Arabidopsis thaliana: one gene and its partners. The protein of the gene in region 2 purifies or fractionates together with the protein of the main gene of each other region. This does not show direct contact. Each region holds a gene or a part of one and is shown on either strand. Other genes may lie near its edges. The genes, in order: SmD3, smB, AT3G07590 and AT1G20580.

Evidence for each region.
Region 1: the proteins of smB (region 2) and SmD3 fractionate together in Arabidopsis thaliana (co-fractionation; one large-scale study listed by BioGRID). This does not show direct contact.
Region 3: the proteins of smB (region 2) and AT3G07590 fractionate together in Arabidopsis thaliana (co-fractionation; one large-scale study listed by BioGRID). This does not show direct contact.
Region 4: the proteins of smB (region 2) and AT1G20580 fractionate together in Arabidopsis thaliana (co-fractionation; one large-scale study listed by BioGRID). This does not show direct contact.

What each region holds. Positions count from the first base shown.
Region 1 is NC_003070.9:28,624,178-28,627,974, forward strand, and holds SmD3 (snRNP core protein SMD3), read left to right. Parts: upstream 1-1,693; 5' UTR 1,694-1,779; coding exon 1,780-1,938; intron 1,939-2,357; coding exon 2,358-2,410; intron 2,411-2,530; coding exon 2,531-2,591; intron 2,592-2,684; coding exon 2,685-2,741; intron 2,742-2,846; coding exon 2,847-2,903; 3' UTR 2,904-3,231; downstream 3,232-3,797. Other genes in the region: AT1G76290 (AMP-dependent synthetase and ligase family protein), read right to left, coding at 1-69, 247-963, 1,034-1,231. UniProt on the Arabidopsis thaliana protein: Core component of the spliceosomal U1, U2, U4 and U5 small nuclear ribonucleoproteins (snRNPs), the building blocks of the spliceosome. May play a minor role in the splicing of cellular pre-mRNAs.
Region 2 is NC_003075.7:11,021,517-11,025,850, forward strand, and holds smB (small nuclear ribonucleoprotein associated protein B), read right to left. Parts: upstream 2,336-4,334; 5' UTR 2,101-2,335; coding exon 1,327-2,100; 3' UTR 1,323-1,326; exon of another isoform or gene 1,219-1,322; 3' UTR 520-1,218; downstream 1-519. Other genes in the region: AT4G20450 (Leucine-rich repeat protein kinase family protein), read right to left, coding at 2,538-2,946, 3,033-3,222, 3,327-3,392, 3,474-3,600, 3,695-3,894, 3,968-4,224, 4,311-4,334.
Region 3 is NC_003074.8:2,421,436-2,425,201, reverse strand, and holds AT3G07590 (Small nuclear ribonucleoprotein family protein), read right to left. Parts: upstream 2,152-3,766; 5' UTR 2,057-2,151; coding exon 2,043-2,056; intron 1,904-2,042; coding exon 1,827-1,903; intron 1,749-1,826; exon of another isoform or gene 1,613-1,748; coding exon of another isoform or gene 1,600-1,612; coding exon 1,408-1,599; intron 1,306-1,407; coding exon 1,244-1,305; 3' UTR 1,215-1,243; downstream 1-1,214. Other genes in the region: AT3G07600 (Heavy metal transport/detoxification superfamily protein), read left to right, coding at 248-253, 356-434, 514-902; AT3G07580 (uncharacterized protein), read left to right, coding at 2,541-2,590, 2,707-2,738, 3,174-3,320, 3,546-3,596. UniProt on the Arabidopsis thaliana protein: Involved in splicing regulation.
Region 4 is NC_003070.9:7,126,809-7,131,308, forward strand, and holds AT1G20580 (Small nuclear ribonucleoprotein family protein), read left to right. Parts: upstream 1-2,058; 5' UTR 2,059-2,170; coding exon 2,171-2,329; intron 2,330-2,970; coding exon 2,971-3,023; intron 3,024-3,116; coding exon 3,117-3,183; intron 3,184-3,279; coding exon 3,280-3,333; intron 3,334-3,500; coding exon 3,501-3,563; 3' UTR 3,564-3,991; downstream 3,992-4,500. Other genes in the region: DPMS1 (Nucleotide-diphospho-sugar transferases superfamily protein), read right to left, coding at 179-283, 381-495, 583-747, 838-863, 940-1,016, 1,098-1,131, 1,226-1,325, 1,751-1,869; AT1G20590 (cyclin), read right to left, coding at 4,358-4,500. UniProt on the Arabidopsis thaliana protein: Core component of the spliceosomal U1, U2, U4 and U5 small nuclear ribonucleoproteins (snRNPs), the building blocks of the spliceosome. May play a major role in the splicing of cellular pre-mRNAs. Required for normal plant development.

The DNA of each region.
Region 1 (3,797 bases), on a different chromosome or scaffold from region 2:
TCCATACACCTCCGAGCATCCATAAGCCATCATCACTTTGAATCCTAGCTTCTTGAGTTTCAACATGACCTGTCCAAATAAATTAATATCTTTACTATGATTCTATGTTAAATATTAATGTACTGTGACGGAGCTAACGTATAAAGCAAGGGATTGATTATATATAACCTCAAAATATGGAAGTTCAACCAAATAAGCCTGATTGAACAAACATGTAATTCAAAACTCTGTGATAGTTAGTTTTACCTCAGGAGGAGAGGATCCTCCGCTCATAACCTGTACGGTCCATGGAAACGACTTCTTGACCGAGTCTCTTGCATTAGCAATCATGTTGAGAACCGGAGGCGAGCCACCAAAGTTAGTTACCTTGTGCTTCACGATACTATCAAATATAACTTCGTCGTTGACTTCCCTGAGACAGACGATGACTCCTCCAAAAGCCGTAACTGTCCAAATATAGCACCACCCGCTACAATGATACATAGGAACTGTACATAGATAAACCGGCATTGGTTTCATCTCATTCATAACACCAACAGCAGTTGCGTTCAGATAGGCACCGCGATGACTATAGACGACACATTTGGGAGTCGATGTGGTTCCAGATGTGAAGTTGAGGGCGATTGGATCACATTCGTCAACTGGTCGTATTGGTTTGAAATTAGGGTTTCCAGTGGAGAGAAAATCCTCGTATTGTTCATATTTTGATTGCTCTGTTGGATTTTCTGTGATTGTGATGATGAGAGGTTTTTCTTCAATGTTTGAGAGGAGACTGAGAGATTCTTCAGCGACAGAGAGGAACTCAGAGTCAACGAAGAATACTTTTGGCTTCGTTTTCTCCAGCGCCATCGCAAGCATCTGAGAATCGAATGTCGTGTTCAACACGCAAAGTACTGCTCCAGCCATCGGAGCTCCAAAATAAAGCTCGCATAACGCAGGAACATTTGGCGCTAAAGCAGCCACCTGATAAAAGAAATAGTTTAAACAAAAGAAAAAAGTATGACCAATATATAAAAGTCGTTTAACCACTTACAACGTCATGGCGAGAGAGACCAAGGTCAGAGAGAGCAGATGCAAGGCGGACGCAACGGTCACGTGTTTGGTGCCACGTGTACTGAATATCACCATACACGACAGAGGTTCTGGAGCCGAAGACGACAGCAGCTCTCTCGAGAAAGCTGATCGGAGAAAGCGGGACGTAATTCGCTGAGCACCTCATTGTTCCTTCCATTTCTTTTCTATTGTTATTCTCTATTGAGCTACTAAAATCATATAAAAATTGTGGAGTATTTATAGGCAAACTATTTTGTGTAACGCTCCAAACAATTAATATGGAATCTTTGATTAATATGGACTACAAGAAGCCAAATTGGCAATTAAATCAGAATCTGTGAAGAAGATTTGTACATTGCAACATCTGTTTAGAGAATCTGAGTTGTCACAACTTTTTTTTTTGAATCTAATCACCACTCGGCTAGTTGTCACAAGTGTAGAGGAGCTTTAATTTACAAACAGTTCTTATCTTTTTATTTTTTTGGGTCAACTAAACAAATCTTATCTTATCTTATACTAATAAAACTTAAGAGTAAAAACAAAGTAACAAAAAAGGCACACAACATTCAACTAATGGGCCCAATAAACTAATGGGCCGATCCAAAATCTAAATAAGAAGTCCATAAGAGTGTGGAGCTTTAACGAGAGAAGCTAAATTGTTCAAAGCTTTTTGGCTGCTAAAAAGGAAAAGGGAAGGTTCAATTAGGGTTTAGTGAATCGACGAAGATGAGTCGGAGTTTGGGGATTCCGGTGAAGCTTCTTCACGAATCGTCCGGTCATATCGTGAGTGTAGAGATGAAGAGCGGTGAGCTTTACAGAGGAAGCATGATCGAGTGTGAGGATAATTGGAACTGTCAGCTCGAGAACATCACCTATACGGCCAAGGTAATGTCTTACTAAGTTACTAGGGTTTCGTTTCTTGGCCATTGCCTATGTAGGAGCTGTGAACAGTTTAGCTTCTTAGGTTGTCTCTTTCTTGTGATGTTGAGAGTAGTTCAATTTTGGAGGAGAATTGAGAATCCTTGTGAAATTCTTGACCCTTAAATTGTGTTCCTAGTAGTGATTGGGTTTAGTTCCTGTATATGCTAGTAGTAGAGAAGAAATGTTATTACAGGTCTTGCTTATGTTGTTACTATGTAGAATCATGACATGTTTGCGATTAAACAAATTACAAGACTATATAATTGATCTTGAATTGTTACTACAGATATATGCTCTTACACATTTGTAGATTGTGATTAGAAATTTAGTATCTTCTATTCATGATTGTTACTAAACTTTCGTTTGGGCTCTTTATGGAACAGGATGGTAAGGTATCACAGCTTGAGCATGTCTTCATTCGAGGCAGCTTAGTCAGGTGCTGCTAGATATAAACTCCTTTTGACATCTCTGCTTGTTTCCTACTTATTTACTTTTGTTGGAGTATTCTTTTTCAACTTAGCTGACTGTTATGTGACATTTTGTAAAATCTTGACAGGTTTTTAGTCATACCAGACATGTTAAAGAATGCTCCAATGTTCAAGGATGTTAGGGGCAAGGTAAACTTCTTGAACGTGATGGAGAATATCAATCCCATCTATGCTTTATAAACATGGAAGCTAATAAACATCTTGTTTACTTGATCAATACAGGGAAAGAGCGCTTCACTAGGTGTAGGCAGAGGTAGAGGTGCTGCAATGCGAGCCAAAGTAAGTTCACCTTTGCCTAAGTCCTTAATGTTTCTGATTTACATCTCAAGAAGACAATGTTGACAATTCAAAGCAACTAATTGAATTTTGTGATGTCATACTCAGGGTACTGGGCGTGGAACAGGAGGAGGAAGAGGGGCTGTGCCACCTGTGAGGAGATAGTTTAGTTAACCCTCGTAATGTAGCTTCGGCTCGTGAGACATTCTCTGCAGTATCCATGAGAATCCGCCATCTTCAGCTCGTCACTTATGCATTTAAGGTACACAGCAAGTAAAATCTCTAAGACATGGAGGGAAGAGAGAAAGAGGAACTAGTTCTGTGTTTTGGGTTACTAAGATGTTTGAAAAATTGACATGTTTTGTTAATGTGGTCATTGAGAGACTTCCCACATCTTATGTATAATATAGCACGATTCAAATTTCTATAATGAATGATTCGTCTTTTTAATCTTGGTAGAAATCAGAAATCATAAAATGATGGTTTTCTAAAAGCGGTCGTTTTTATCCATTTATTATATTCATTCGTTTATTAATCTGATAAAGATGGTCGGATAAAAACGGAGAAGACACTTGAGTTGTAGTAGGAAATAAAACATTCGACATAGGTAATGGTAAAAAGCGGCAACCGCGATTTCATGGTTTAGTTTCGGCCACCATGACTGGACCGCGGCCCGAGCGGCTTCAGCATAGGTAGTTGTAAAATCGACTGGTTCTTGTTTTTTTCAAGAAATTTAGCGACTTGAACGACCAAGTCAAGAGATCAAAGTGATTATGTCCACAAAACCAGAAGCCTAATTTATTTTCGCGACAAATGTTGTGAACTTGTGATTGTGAGTGATAAGATATGACTTGGACATTTGGAAAGAAGAGCGGAAAAATATGTTGAAATGAAGAACCCTAAAAAGTTAAGAGTTTTAAAAAACGCTTTCTGTTATTCTCTTATCAACGAAAATGAGAAGACTAAACCATCCACAGATATTTCGAAAACAAACAAGTGAACCCACACAGAGATACGTACGTGTTCAGAAACTTCCCCCCCATATGATGCAACTTATGT
Region 2 (4,334 bases):
GTTGGAACTTGTCGTCGGGTCCCATTTCTATCCTCTTTATAGTTTTTTTACTTAATTCAGTTCCACAGTTTTGCACTGAAATTTTAAAAGAAAACAATGTAACAATAACAAGTATTCGATTTTTCTTGATTTTAAGCATGTATATAAACCTTATCAATAAGAAATAGTCTGATACTAAATGAAAACTCCAATCCGTAATAATGAGTATCATACCGAATCTCCGATTAAGAAATAAACAAGTAACGACTATATATTAACCTTTAAAGTTGTCGCAGCCTTGTAATATTCTTTTGATCTTTTAAAATTATAAAGCTGAGATTTAGCAATGGTGGGGTTAACGTGAAGCATCATTAGGAGTGTTAATGGGTCACACTCACACCTATGTTTTTGACTTTTTTTTATTACCTTTCGTACTTTTGTTTTGTTTTCTATCTTTAACCTTCAACGGCACAATTCTTACACAGCCAAACAATCGCAGTGTGCAGTGTAAGTCAACACCATTTGTATACGTTCTCACTTGTCAAATCTTGGTTAGTGACCAAGCCTTATTGAATAATTGAAAGTTCTGAAAAATAATTCACTATAAACAAGTATTACTTACCATTCAACTAACCACACTAATTCACAATTTCATTTCATCAAAATTAACATATGTAAGAATGTGAAACCCAACCAAACTGAACCAACAGAATTTTGGTTAGATTTGAACTATATCCAAAATTGCAAGGTAATGTGACTTGTTAATCTTTTTATAGATCGACGAGTTCTTCATCACAAATAGCTGAATGTATCCACGATTCATCACAACATCCATAGCTCCCTAAACAAGGTTTTGACTTCTACCTAAACAATCCATAAACAAGGACAAGAGAGGTGATCAATAGTAGAACCGATTTAGCCCTTGTTCGAGTAAGATTCAGATGTGATCACTAGCTTAGTTTCTAGCTTTCTAAGATGTTATTAAGTTCCTCGAAATGGCGCAAGAAAGTTGCTGTTTCAACCTCAAAAGAGTTAGCAATGTAAAACGATCCTCAAGATAGATGTTTACCTTAAGAAGACATAACAAAGTTTAATGGATTCGTTCTTAAAAGAAAACACAAGAAGATAAGGCAAAGACAACTCACTCGTCAACAAATCTACAAACTTTGAAAGCTAAGATAGATGAGAAATTGCGGCTAAAGTCAATGAAAGGCAACATGATAGCACGATACCGTAAACCTGAGGAAGTTCAATCAAACATCTTAAAGCCTTCATAATCTCAAGAAAACAGCGACAAAAACAGTAAAAAGCCGAGACAAGAGTCCTGTTCATTCACTGCTAACCTAATCACTGCTGCTGATTATGTGGTGGCATGCCAGGACGCGGTGGAGCAAAACCACCAGGAGCAGGAGGCATTCCAGGGCGAGGCGGAGGAGGTCCTTGCATTCCATGAGGTGGAGGAGGAGGTCCTCTCATCATACCACCAGGAGGAGGAATCATTGGCCTTTGCCCATACTGAGGCGGTGGTGGTCCAGAAAACTGCTGTGGCGGTGGCCTCATACCATAAGGCGGTGGAGGACCTCTTCCCATAGGAGGACCTTGACCACCAAAAGGAGGCGGTGGCAACATCTGTCCCGGAGGTCGAATAATCGGAGGAGCTGAAAGCTGTGGTGGACGAGAGATCTGAGGCTGCATCATTCCCGGAGCAGGTCCACCAACACCACGAACAGGACCAGATAAACCAGGCTGAGCTTGAACTAACGGACCAGTAGGAACTCCACGCCCAGCGGCACGGCCAATTCCTGGACCAGCAACAGCAGCTGCAGAGCCAGCTTTAGCACGAGATTCTTCAGGAGGAGGTGGTCCTTCGACAGTCATTGAGATAACTTCTTCACCTCTAAGCAACACTAAACCTAGCGTACGGCGATCTTCACGCTCTTCGTTGATCTTCTTCCCTTTAGCTGGTGGAAGCTTACGAAACTCCTCGCAATCGCCGAGAACGAGGTTCATGTGACGGTCAAACGCCATGAACTTCCCAACGAGCTGTCTTCCGTCTTGGATCGTCACTCGCATCCTGTAGTTGATGAACTGAAGCATCTTTGAACTCTTCGACATCGACATTCTCGCCGATTGAATAGTAACACTCGCTACAAGCAGAGATTCGGCGGCGAAACCGAGTATGCCGGAGGATCGAAATCGAGCTTAGGGTTTCAAAAAACTAAATCGAGAGGCCAAAATTGGGGGGGTTTGGCTGTGCAAATCGGGAAGTGGGAAATTTCTAGGGTTTATAAATGAATACACTCTTGTTTATGGGCTTACTTTCATTATGGGCCCAAACATATTGGACTTGGGCTGCAATTAGTTGAATAGGCTACAATATTTGTTAGTTTGAGGCTCCAAGTTTCACTAAGCTTATTTTATGGAGCAAATCAGCAAATGTCAAAGTTTAATCGGGAACAAATGTGTAAAGTTCAACAAGATTAAAACAAATCTGATACATTGAATAAGGAAATATTTTGTTATTCAAAACACACGTGTATTCCTGAACTTGGCATGAACTAGCGTGCATCAGGGATATGTTCAGGACCAAAGCTTGTGCTCTGTTCAAGAGAACTCTTGGAGTCCACGTCATGTCTCCCTCCTTTCCTTGAGTTCTCAGTTAAGAGACACTCTTGTAGTTCATTAGCAACCTGGGACATATTTGGTCTTCCGGATGAAGATGGACTGACGCATGACATTGCTAACTCAAGAGCCTTCCACAATGAACTAGAGTCATAATCACCGTTCATACTTGGATCCACAATATTTTTGATATCTCCATTGGTTAACTTAAATCCCACCCATTCTCCTATGTGAGACTTCTCACGAGTTTGGTCAATCACTGGCTGACTTGTGATGATTTCCAGTAATACGACTCCAAAACTGAAGACATCACTCTTCTCTGTCAACCAGTTTGTTCGGTAATATCTATAATACGAATGAATAAAAAATTTACCAGATGGAAAGAGAAAGACACAACTTAAGTTCATTAAGTATTGTTATAGACCACTTACTCAGGGTCAAGATAACCTGGAGATCCAGCAACATTTGTTGACACATGAGTTTCACTTCCCACCGGAAAAGATCTTGAAAGCCCGAAATCACCAAGTTTGGCCTGGAAATTATTATCAAGAAGTATATTCATAGATTTGATATCTCTATGAATCATTGGTGGTTTGCAGCCGATATGCAAGTACTCCAGTCCTATATAATACAACTCATAAAAGGTTTATTTCAAAACTCACCAAGAGAAGTGAACATCTCAAAAAATTTGCAATGTTATCTTTTTCTCAAAACTTCAAACGAACCTTGTGCTGTCTCTGCAGCAATTCTTAGCCTATTTTCCCAACTCAAAGGGGACCTAGAATTTTCTCCTGTACTCATAAAGATGTGTGTATGTTATAAGATGACACACGATCATTGTGTTTAGAAACAAATTAGGTAATCAAGGTTACCAGATAGATGTTGTTTTAAGTTTCCATTGGACATGTACTCGTAGATGAGGACCAAGTGTTGTCCTTCGTCACAATAACCAACAAGAGTTACTAAATTTATGTGGTGTACTCTGAGAAGAAGGTCTACCTAGCAAACCACAAGTAACCCAAAAGTTGGTAAATCATATATATACATTTTATTTGAGTATATGAATAATTAAACTTAATGATAGTGAAGGTACCTCAGCTTTAAATTGCTTATATCCTTGAGCTGAGGATTCAGAGAGCACCTTTACAGCCACTTGTTCGTTATCATTTACATTACCGTGGTACACGACTCCAAATCCTCCTTCGCCAAGAGGTCTCTCAAAATTGTTTGTAATTACCGCAACCTCTTCATAAGTATAGCTTCTCTTGTTCGCCACCATTGATGAGCGTGAAGCTATTATATACCATACATTATATACTTAAGTACAAATTTGAAGTTAATGAGTTTTAATTAGTCCTGAGCTTACCTTTGGATGGCTTCTTCTTTCTAAGTAAGAGAATGTTGACGAGAAGAAGCACAGCTATAATAATTCCCACAGAAGCAGCTGATGCAAGAATAGGTACTAGCAATTTCTTTTTGTTATTCCCAGGACCAGTTTCACTTTCGCATGATGGATCCAAACAGAGGTTATTTCCATTATACAGCAACGTTATTAGCCCATTCTTTTCCATGTTGAGAAGGCTTTGAGGAATTGAGCCGCTAAGATTGTTCCCACTCAAGTTTCTGTGCAATGTATATAAAACGTTATTAGATGCATCCATTTAAAGATTTAAAACCAAACTATTCGTTTTACTTCTAGGGGAACTTACATGAATGTCAACAACTTCATTTTG
Region 3 (3,766 bases), on a different chromosome or scaffold from region 2:
ATTGGTAATAAGCTCGTACGAATCGGCAACTAGAACCAATAAAACACGTAAGGACCGAAGATATGAACCTGACAACGATATTCAAACTATCGGATTCCGTTGTGTGAGACAACGACTCATGGAACAAATGAATATATAAAATCGATCCTTATTTATATTTCCTCTAATTTGTGATCGAAGAAGACACAAAAAAGTTCGGAGCAAACTCCCATCAAACAAATCACGCGGATTCTCAGAAGACAATAACATGAAGGTATGTCTCCTGTGTACTCAACAACAAGTAATAACTTCGATTCTCTTGTGAAAGAGAGAGACTTCTCTTTGTGATGTTAAGGAGTTCTCTTATTGTACTCAGCAAAAGATCCTGATAAGAATTGCTATGACTGATGACACAACTCGAGCAAAGGCAATGAAAACTGCGGTTCAGTTTAAAGGTAACAATGATACAAACACTAGAGAACTTGATGATTGTAATTCTTGTTGAATCTAAAGATTTATCGCATTGGTTTATAGGCGTGAACGCTGTGGAAATAAAGGGAGATCACAGGAACCAGATTGAGGTGACCGGTGTTGAAGTCGATATGATTGCTCTAATCAACACACTCAGGAAAAAAGTTGCATTTGCGGAGCTTGTTAGCGTAGCTAAAGTTGAACCACCTAAGGATGGTGACAAAAAGCCAGAAGAAGAAAAGAAACCCGAAGAGAAGAAACCCGAAGAGAAGAAACCTGAAGAGAAGAAACCTGAGCCATGTTGTCAACCATGGCAAAAACCTGAGCCATGTTATCAACCATGGCCTCATGATGGATATGGTGTGCCATCTTCCTATCCCTACCCGTGTGATCCCTACAATCAGATCGGGGAACCCGTTTACAATCAAGATCCCAATTGCAGGATCATGTGAGATAGGTTTCATGTGGAAGATTAACGGAGGAGATAGCAGTTTTTCTATACTAAGATTGTCAACATGTTAATGCAATTTGATAGTCAGATTTGTTAAATGAATAAAAAGTCTTGAGCTATCAGTATCACACAAATTCTCTACTTGTAGATGCTCTTATAACATGTAAAGCCAAATCTTGTTATCCATGGAATTCCATTACAAAGTAACTCCTTACTAGAGCATCAATCATACTATTTCTCAATCAAATCTTTCCTTTGCCAGAGTTGCTAGTTACATAACTCGTACATTCTCCTAAAAATTAAACTCACAAACCTTCAACATGTTCCAGAGCGCTGCTACATCTAACGACCTCTGCCGCGACCACGCCCACGGCCACGTCCGCGACCGCGTCCAACAGCTTTCCCTAAAGAAGAAAGAAAGAGAGAACGAATAAATGGACTGATAAAGAAGTCTTTTAGCTTATGAAGACGAATATTACAAACACCAAAAATGAATGAAGCAGTACCAGCAACAGGCTTCTTAGGTTTAACTCTAGGAGTGTCTTCCACAAGTAAAGTCTCGAGGTTCAAGCTATCAGGAAGAATGTAGTAGCGAATATTATTACCCCTCAAGCTAAGATGATCAAGTGTTACTGGGTTTTTCCCCTTCAGGCTCATCTTCACTGTCTTCAAGTGAGTGTTCATGCTCACATCAACACCTGCCCAAATCATCAAGCTTAAACTTCAATAAATATACCTTTATGACTACTGGCTCTAACTGTGTGTTTACTCAACCTATTCATGTGATCACAAGGACGCGATTAGGGCCAATTGAAAATAAGGGAACAGATCGCGACTTGTATAAGACCTAGCAACGGAGAAATCGAGAGAGAAGAAAAGATGAGAAGAGCTACAAAGAAACCGGAAGCTAACAATAAGAACTTACCAGTGATGGTTCCATGGACCACAGTCCCATTCTTCAGCTCGATAGACACAGTTTCATTGTTTAACTTCATCAAAAACCTACTCGATCCAATCAAAACCATATAACACAAATCAGCTCAGGCTCAATATTGGGAATGGATTCCATGCCAGGAGCTAACTAAGATTAAGAACAACATGAATTTTCTAAAGAAAAGAAGAACTGAGAACGAAACAGTACCTGACGAGCTTCATCTTTGGATGCGAAGAAAGAACAACCAAACAAAGAAATTGACGAGGAAACAGCGAAAGGTGTGAAAACCCTCAAAACCCTTCTTTCGCTGTGAGAGACCTCACGATGGAGCGGGTACAGATCCGATTCCGGTTTTGGATCCATCAGCTAAATTACAATATTGGGCCCAAAAATGTAGTAAGGCCCATAAAGTCCAATGGTGGACCAGTAGATGTTTCAACCAGAAATCTACATACAGTTGGTTCAGCAAACCGGAAATTGAACACGAAACGTTAATTTCGGAAAGGCGTAATAAAAGCGCGCGAGAGGTTGATAAACACGCGTCGAAGAATTCGCGCGTGAAGATTGAACGACTTCAGACGAGAAGACGCTTTTCAACGTTCTCTATGCGTTAAACAGTTGACTGTTGACAGATCTCCTCCGGTAGAGAGAGAGAGAGAGAGAGAGAGAGTTCTCTGAAAAAACTGCGTAAATCCTAACTCGTCAATGGCGGATTCGAGCTCCAATCAGAATCGATACACTCCTCCTAATCAAAGGTAACTTCTTCTTCTTCTTCTTCAGTGGTCTTTGATCTGCTGATTTCGAGTGTTCTTTATTCTACTGATTTCGCTACTCCGTTCTTACCTTTCGATGTTGCTTCTCCGTGTCACAGGAAGGCTTCTGGGAATCGCCGGAAGTCGGGAGGTATGTGAGCTCTCTCTCTCTCTCTCTGTCTTCTTTGCCTCAGTCGTTCTTTATTGATTCTTAATCAATTCGGTTCTTAATTCCGAGAGTATCTAGTTCTGTGGAGATTATAGCTTAGATCAAAGATTGTCGATGAATAGAAGTAATCTTGTTTTGTAGATTCAGGAATTGATTGCATGCGAATCTGTACACATTGTGTTTGTGCATAGTTGGTAACTTCAAGAACCGTTTCTAAGAAAGTGAATTATTAGGAGTTTAGCCTGAAATTCAGATCTCGCTCTCTCTTTATTAGCAAATCCGCTGGTTGATTCATTTCTCCATGTGTGTACTTGACCCATTTGTTTGCCTGTTTTCTTGAAAATAAATCGTCGTTCAAGCTATATCTGGTTTTGCTAGTATGCTATGGTTCTTGGCTAAATAAAGAGTGAAATGCAGATCGAACAAGTAGCCAACAGAACAACGATAATGAGAGAAATCAGCCTCCTGCTACTGGTCTTCAGATGGAAAACATATCCCAGACCCAGAGGATAATAACAATAAAGGACTGCTCCAGGAGTGCAGCTTATCAGCTCATGAGCCAACGTATAAATCTGAACTATCTCTTTAAACATTTAGCTGGTTTATTCTTTGCTCTGTATCACTATCTGGTCGTTCTTCTATCAACTGTTGCTATGCTAAGCATTTGTTGAGTCAGTGCTAGTTTTAGAAATCTTTGAACTTAATAGATAAGGTGTGTTGAATTCACTGCTTATGCAGTCAGTTTTATGTACTTGTCTTATTTACGTGCTCTTGATTTGTCATGAACAGGATGGGCAGCTGAAATGCATCAATACGACGACCCAACTGTGGATCTATCTGGTGAGATTAAGGGATTCTAAGTTTTCCTTTGTCCTTTGTGTCTATTATACTTGTGCTGCTTGAGTTGCCTCCAAATACAATCAGATATATCTATGTTCTTATCTGGATCTCTGTCTTCCGGTTAGTCAAGTATAACTGATTTTCAAGTTTGCCTACTTTCTCTGTTTCAC
Region 4 (4,500 bases), on a different chromosome or scaffold from region 2:
AACAATGTCTATAATATGAACTTTTGAGTCTTAAAAGATGCGACTCTCTGAAGTCAAAGTAAGTGAAGTTTCTAAACGACATGATCAGAGTTCAACTGTTAAGAGAAATCTATGAAGCAATGGAACAAATGAAGAGTATAAAGAGAGACTCGTGTGTTGTTGAGTTGCTTGGTGTGTCTTAAGTTGTAAGCAGGAGATAGACGAGGCCTTTTAGATATTCCACTATTTCAGATCCTCCGAGTTTCGAAGTTCCAAAGACTCTGTCAACAAAAGTGATCGGTACCTGCAGATGAAGATGAGCACCAGAGAATCAAGAATATGAATGGAAATATAGTTTAGAAAGAATCAAAATCACAGTGAATTGGTATAAAAAGAGAGACCTCTTCAATATGGTATCCTTTTCTGGTTGCACGAACAATCATTTCCATCTGAAAGACATACCCTTTACTCACACATGAGCTAATCACGTCTTCAAGCGCCGATTTCTTGTATAGCCTTCCAAACAAAGAGGTGCGGAGGTCAGACATGATACTATCAAATGATGTCAGTTAAAAATATGCGCATATGTTATTTGAATTATACCGGAATGATCCTGTTAAATCAGATACACCAGGCCATAAAAGTGTTTGAGCTAGCACATTTGCTCCTCTACTAGTGAGTTTCCGCATAAGATTCCACCCGTGTACACCACCACCTTTTACATATCGTGTACCAGTTACTATACTTGCATTTGTCTCTAGTTGTTTCCTTTATGATAATAAGAAAAAAAACAAATCAGTTGAAGTCACTATAGGTTGTGAAACTAGTAAGAGATCAAGAGACTCTTCTTTTTCTTACTTGATGAAACTTGGTAAGTATTTTGGCTGCACAGAAGAAAAGTGACTGGGTTAGCTAAACAATTAAACAGGTAAACAAGAAAACTAAATTAATGGCTCTTACATGATGTGAAAGATCAGCATCCATGATCACGACGAAATCACCCGTAGCATGCTTCAAACCATGAATATATGCAGTTCCTGAGATTGACCATGCCAAGAAAATTAATTTCATTTCTTGTTAACCAAAACTAGAAGACAATGAAGATACAAATTACATACCCAAACCAAGCTTCTTGGCTCTAGCTCTTAAAAGCTGCATCATAAAAAAGATAAAAACATGATTTCACCTAAACAGAAGAACGCCCAATAATTTACAAATTAAGGTCTTAACACATCATTGTACTCACGATACGGTCTTCACCATACAATTGCTGCAGTTGCTTGACAATTTCCTGTGTGCCATCAGGACTCCCATCATCCACAACAATTATCTCAAAATCAACGTCCCTAAATCATACAAACAAGTAGCGAAGCAAATTCTCAGTAACAGTTAACAAAGAGTCTACTTAACAAGTGCAATTCTATATTAATTTCATATAAGCAGCCATAACCAGAATCGATCTAAGATTAGCACATGTAGCTTCTGACTATTCTCCGATCACTAAATCAAAGTTTTTAAAACACCATGAAACTACTACTATATAGTTTGAGGGATCACTACATTGGCCTTTACTAGCTCATGCACAGAAACAACAAATCACGAATTAGGATCTGCAATCTACAGAAACATGATCGGAAAATTTCCGAGATCCGTAACTTGAAATTGGCGATCAGGTTCGAGTATTCAGTAAAAGAATAACAAAAAACGTAATTCCGATTCTGAAATGAAAGAATGAACGTGAAAAGACCAAAAGAAATAAATATTCATTTACCGGAGATGCTTGAAAATCAGGTAGACTATGATAGCGATGTTGAGGCGCTCGTTGTAGGTAGGAATGATTATGCTATACTTGTACTTCTTCTCTCCTTTGGTCTCCATCTCGTCCGCCATCTCTTCCGGCGAGTTTTGGTAACGGTGGTTCCTTCGTCTTAACCCGTGAAATCAGCCGTCGTCTGTACAAAAATAAGGATTAAAATAATGTCAAATATAGGGACTAAAAAGCAAGTTTCTCAAATTGGGCCTAATATAAATATGGGCCTATATAAAGCCCAAAAATAAATCAGGAAAGCTTTAAAAGAGGTAAACTCGTCAATCGCATCTGAGTCGCTCTTCTTTCCTTCCGCCATTTTTTTCTTTCTAGGTTGCAGAGTTAAAGGAGAAGGTTTTCAATTAGGGTTTTGTAGAGAGAAAGATGAGCCGAAGTTTGGGAATACCGGTGAAGCTTCTTCACGAGGCCTCAGGTCATATCGTGACGGTGGAGCTAAAGAGCGGCGAGCTTTACAGAGGAAGTATGATTGAGTGTGAGGATAACTGGAACTGTCAGCTCGAGGATATTACTTATACCGCCAAGGTAATCAACTGATACTCTGAAGATCTCGATTCATTTTATATGAGACTGTTTTTTGAACCATAGGTTTCGTTTCAATTTCATTGTTTGATGTTAGTGCTGTTAAAACCCTAGATTTGGTGAGCTGGGCAAATTTGCTGGGAAATTTTAGATTGCTTCTTATTTTAAGTTCTAAGTGAGATTAAGAATCCTTGAAATTCATGCTGTATAAAACCCTAGAATGCGTGATCCTGCCAGTGACATTAGATAAATTTTGACTGTAGGGTATAGTCTCCTCTGATTGGTTAAACTTATTATTGATCTATAGGACACATCAATAACTGAGAAGAAAGGTTCTACGTTTGTGCTTTGTAACGTTTTATCCAAAGCCTAAGTTGCTCTTTAGGAATACAGTGGTCAAATGTGAATTATCTGAAGTATGCAGGTCTTAAAGCGTCCTCTTATTTGCGGATTATTGTGCCGTATGGGTTTTGAGTCAACCTGTAATTATTGGGAAAAGAACTACATGTAGTTCTCAATTCAGAAAGTCTTAACTCTTTAAGTGTTATTCTTCATAGTATACATAAATAATCTGTCAACTTAATGGGTTTGTTTGTTAATTGTCACTGAACTTTTGTTTTGGGTTTTCCAATGCTGTGTTACAGGATGGTAAGGTATCACAGCTTGAGCATGTCTTCATTCGAGGCAGTAAAGTCAGGTGCTGTACTTGTTTCCTTGTTTATGTAATTCATGGGATCATTCTTGTTAACCCTAGCTGTTTAGTAATTGACCTGCGGATATATCTTGACAGGTTTATGGTCATACCAGACATTCTCAAACATGCTCCAATGTTCAAGCGGTTAGATGCTAGAATCAAGGTATATATGCTTTTTGAACCCTGGATGCAGAATGATATTAGGATCTCTATACATATCTCCAACAAACATCTTACCTTACTTGCTTAATCAATGTAGGGAAAGAGCTCATCACTGGGTGTTGGCAGAGGTAGAGGTGCAATGCGAGGGAAAGTAAGTTCACCCTCTCTCTCTTATGATTTAGTGCTCATGAATGCAATGTTAGGAAGTTTTATGGAACTTGTTAAGATGTTCAAATCCTTGTTATCCCTTAATGGTTTGTTTCTTCTTTGTCACTACTAATGGTTAGATTCTTGAATCTTTGTGATATTATCTTAAAGCCGGCTGCCGGGCCCGGGCGTGGAACTGGAGGAAGGGGAGCGGTACCACCTGTGAGGAGATGATTGATTTTACGCTCAACATGTAAGCTTTGATTCTGGGATAGTCTTTCTGTGATATCCAGGTGAAAGCCGCCTTTCTTGGTTCTGTCATTAATGCTTTAGAGAACACTGTAAAACCAAACAAGAGAGAGAGATATCCAGATGCACTACTAGTTCTGTATTTTGGGTTACCAAGATGTTTGAATCATTGACAAGTTTTCGTTGTGATCTATTTTCTTCTTTGCGCATTCTCCATTTCTGACAGTAGATGAGTAAAACAAAGTACATTGTTTTCATAAAGGTCTTAATAAGACTAAGATCAGAAAACAAAGTTGGTCATTTATAACATTAATAATATAAGCTAGAAAATAATATTGTACTTGTATTTTCAACATGTAAAACCTTGTCTACTGCTATTTTCCCAAATTATCCAAAAAATTTCCAAAATGACTTGTACAATATTTAGTCTATAAAAGTTTAGTTCCAGAGTACCAGCAAACACCAAAACGACTTGTAGAAGAATATTTGATGGAGTGTAGAGGTTCGGTTCCTGAGTAATATTAACCAAAATGGGTCATAGAGTTTCCTGAGTATTTTACAACGATTATACATGAAATTAGTAGGATCAATTCACAAGTTGAATATAGGAAAGCATGATATCAAAAGATTCTTTTTATTCTCTCTCAAGTGAAGAAAGATCTTAAAGACCTTAAAAAGAGAAGAACCGAACCAACCATTGTACATATCCCATTTGGGCAACTTGCTCTATCTCTCTTTCTCTCACACTCTTTTTGTTCAAAAGAAAAACTCGAGTTATGTCATATTAGATTCTTATTATAGTTTTTTCCTCCCTTAAAGCAGAAACCCAGCTGGTTCACTTCTTGCAGCATGAAAGAACTTAGATGTGTTGTACTTCCTGTGAGCTTCCCTGTTCCTGCCTTGTGATGAAAAGCAACCATCT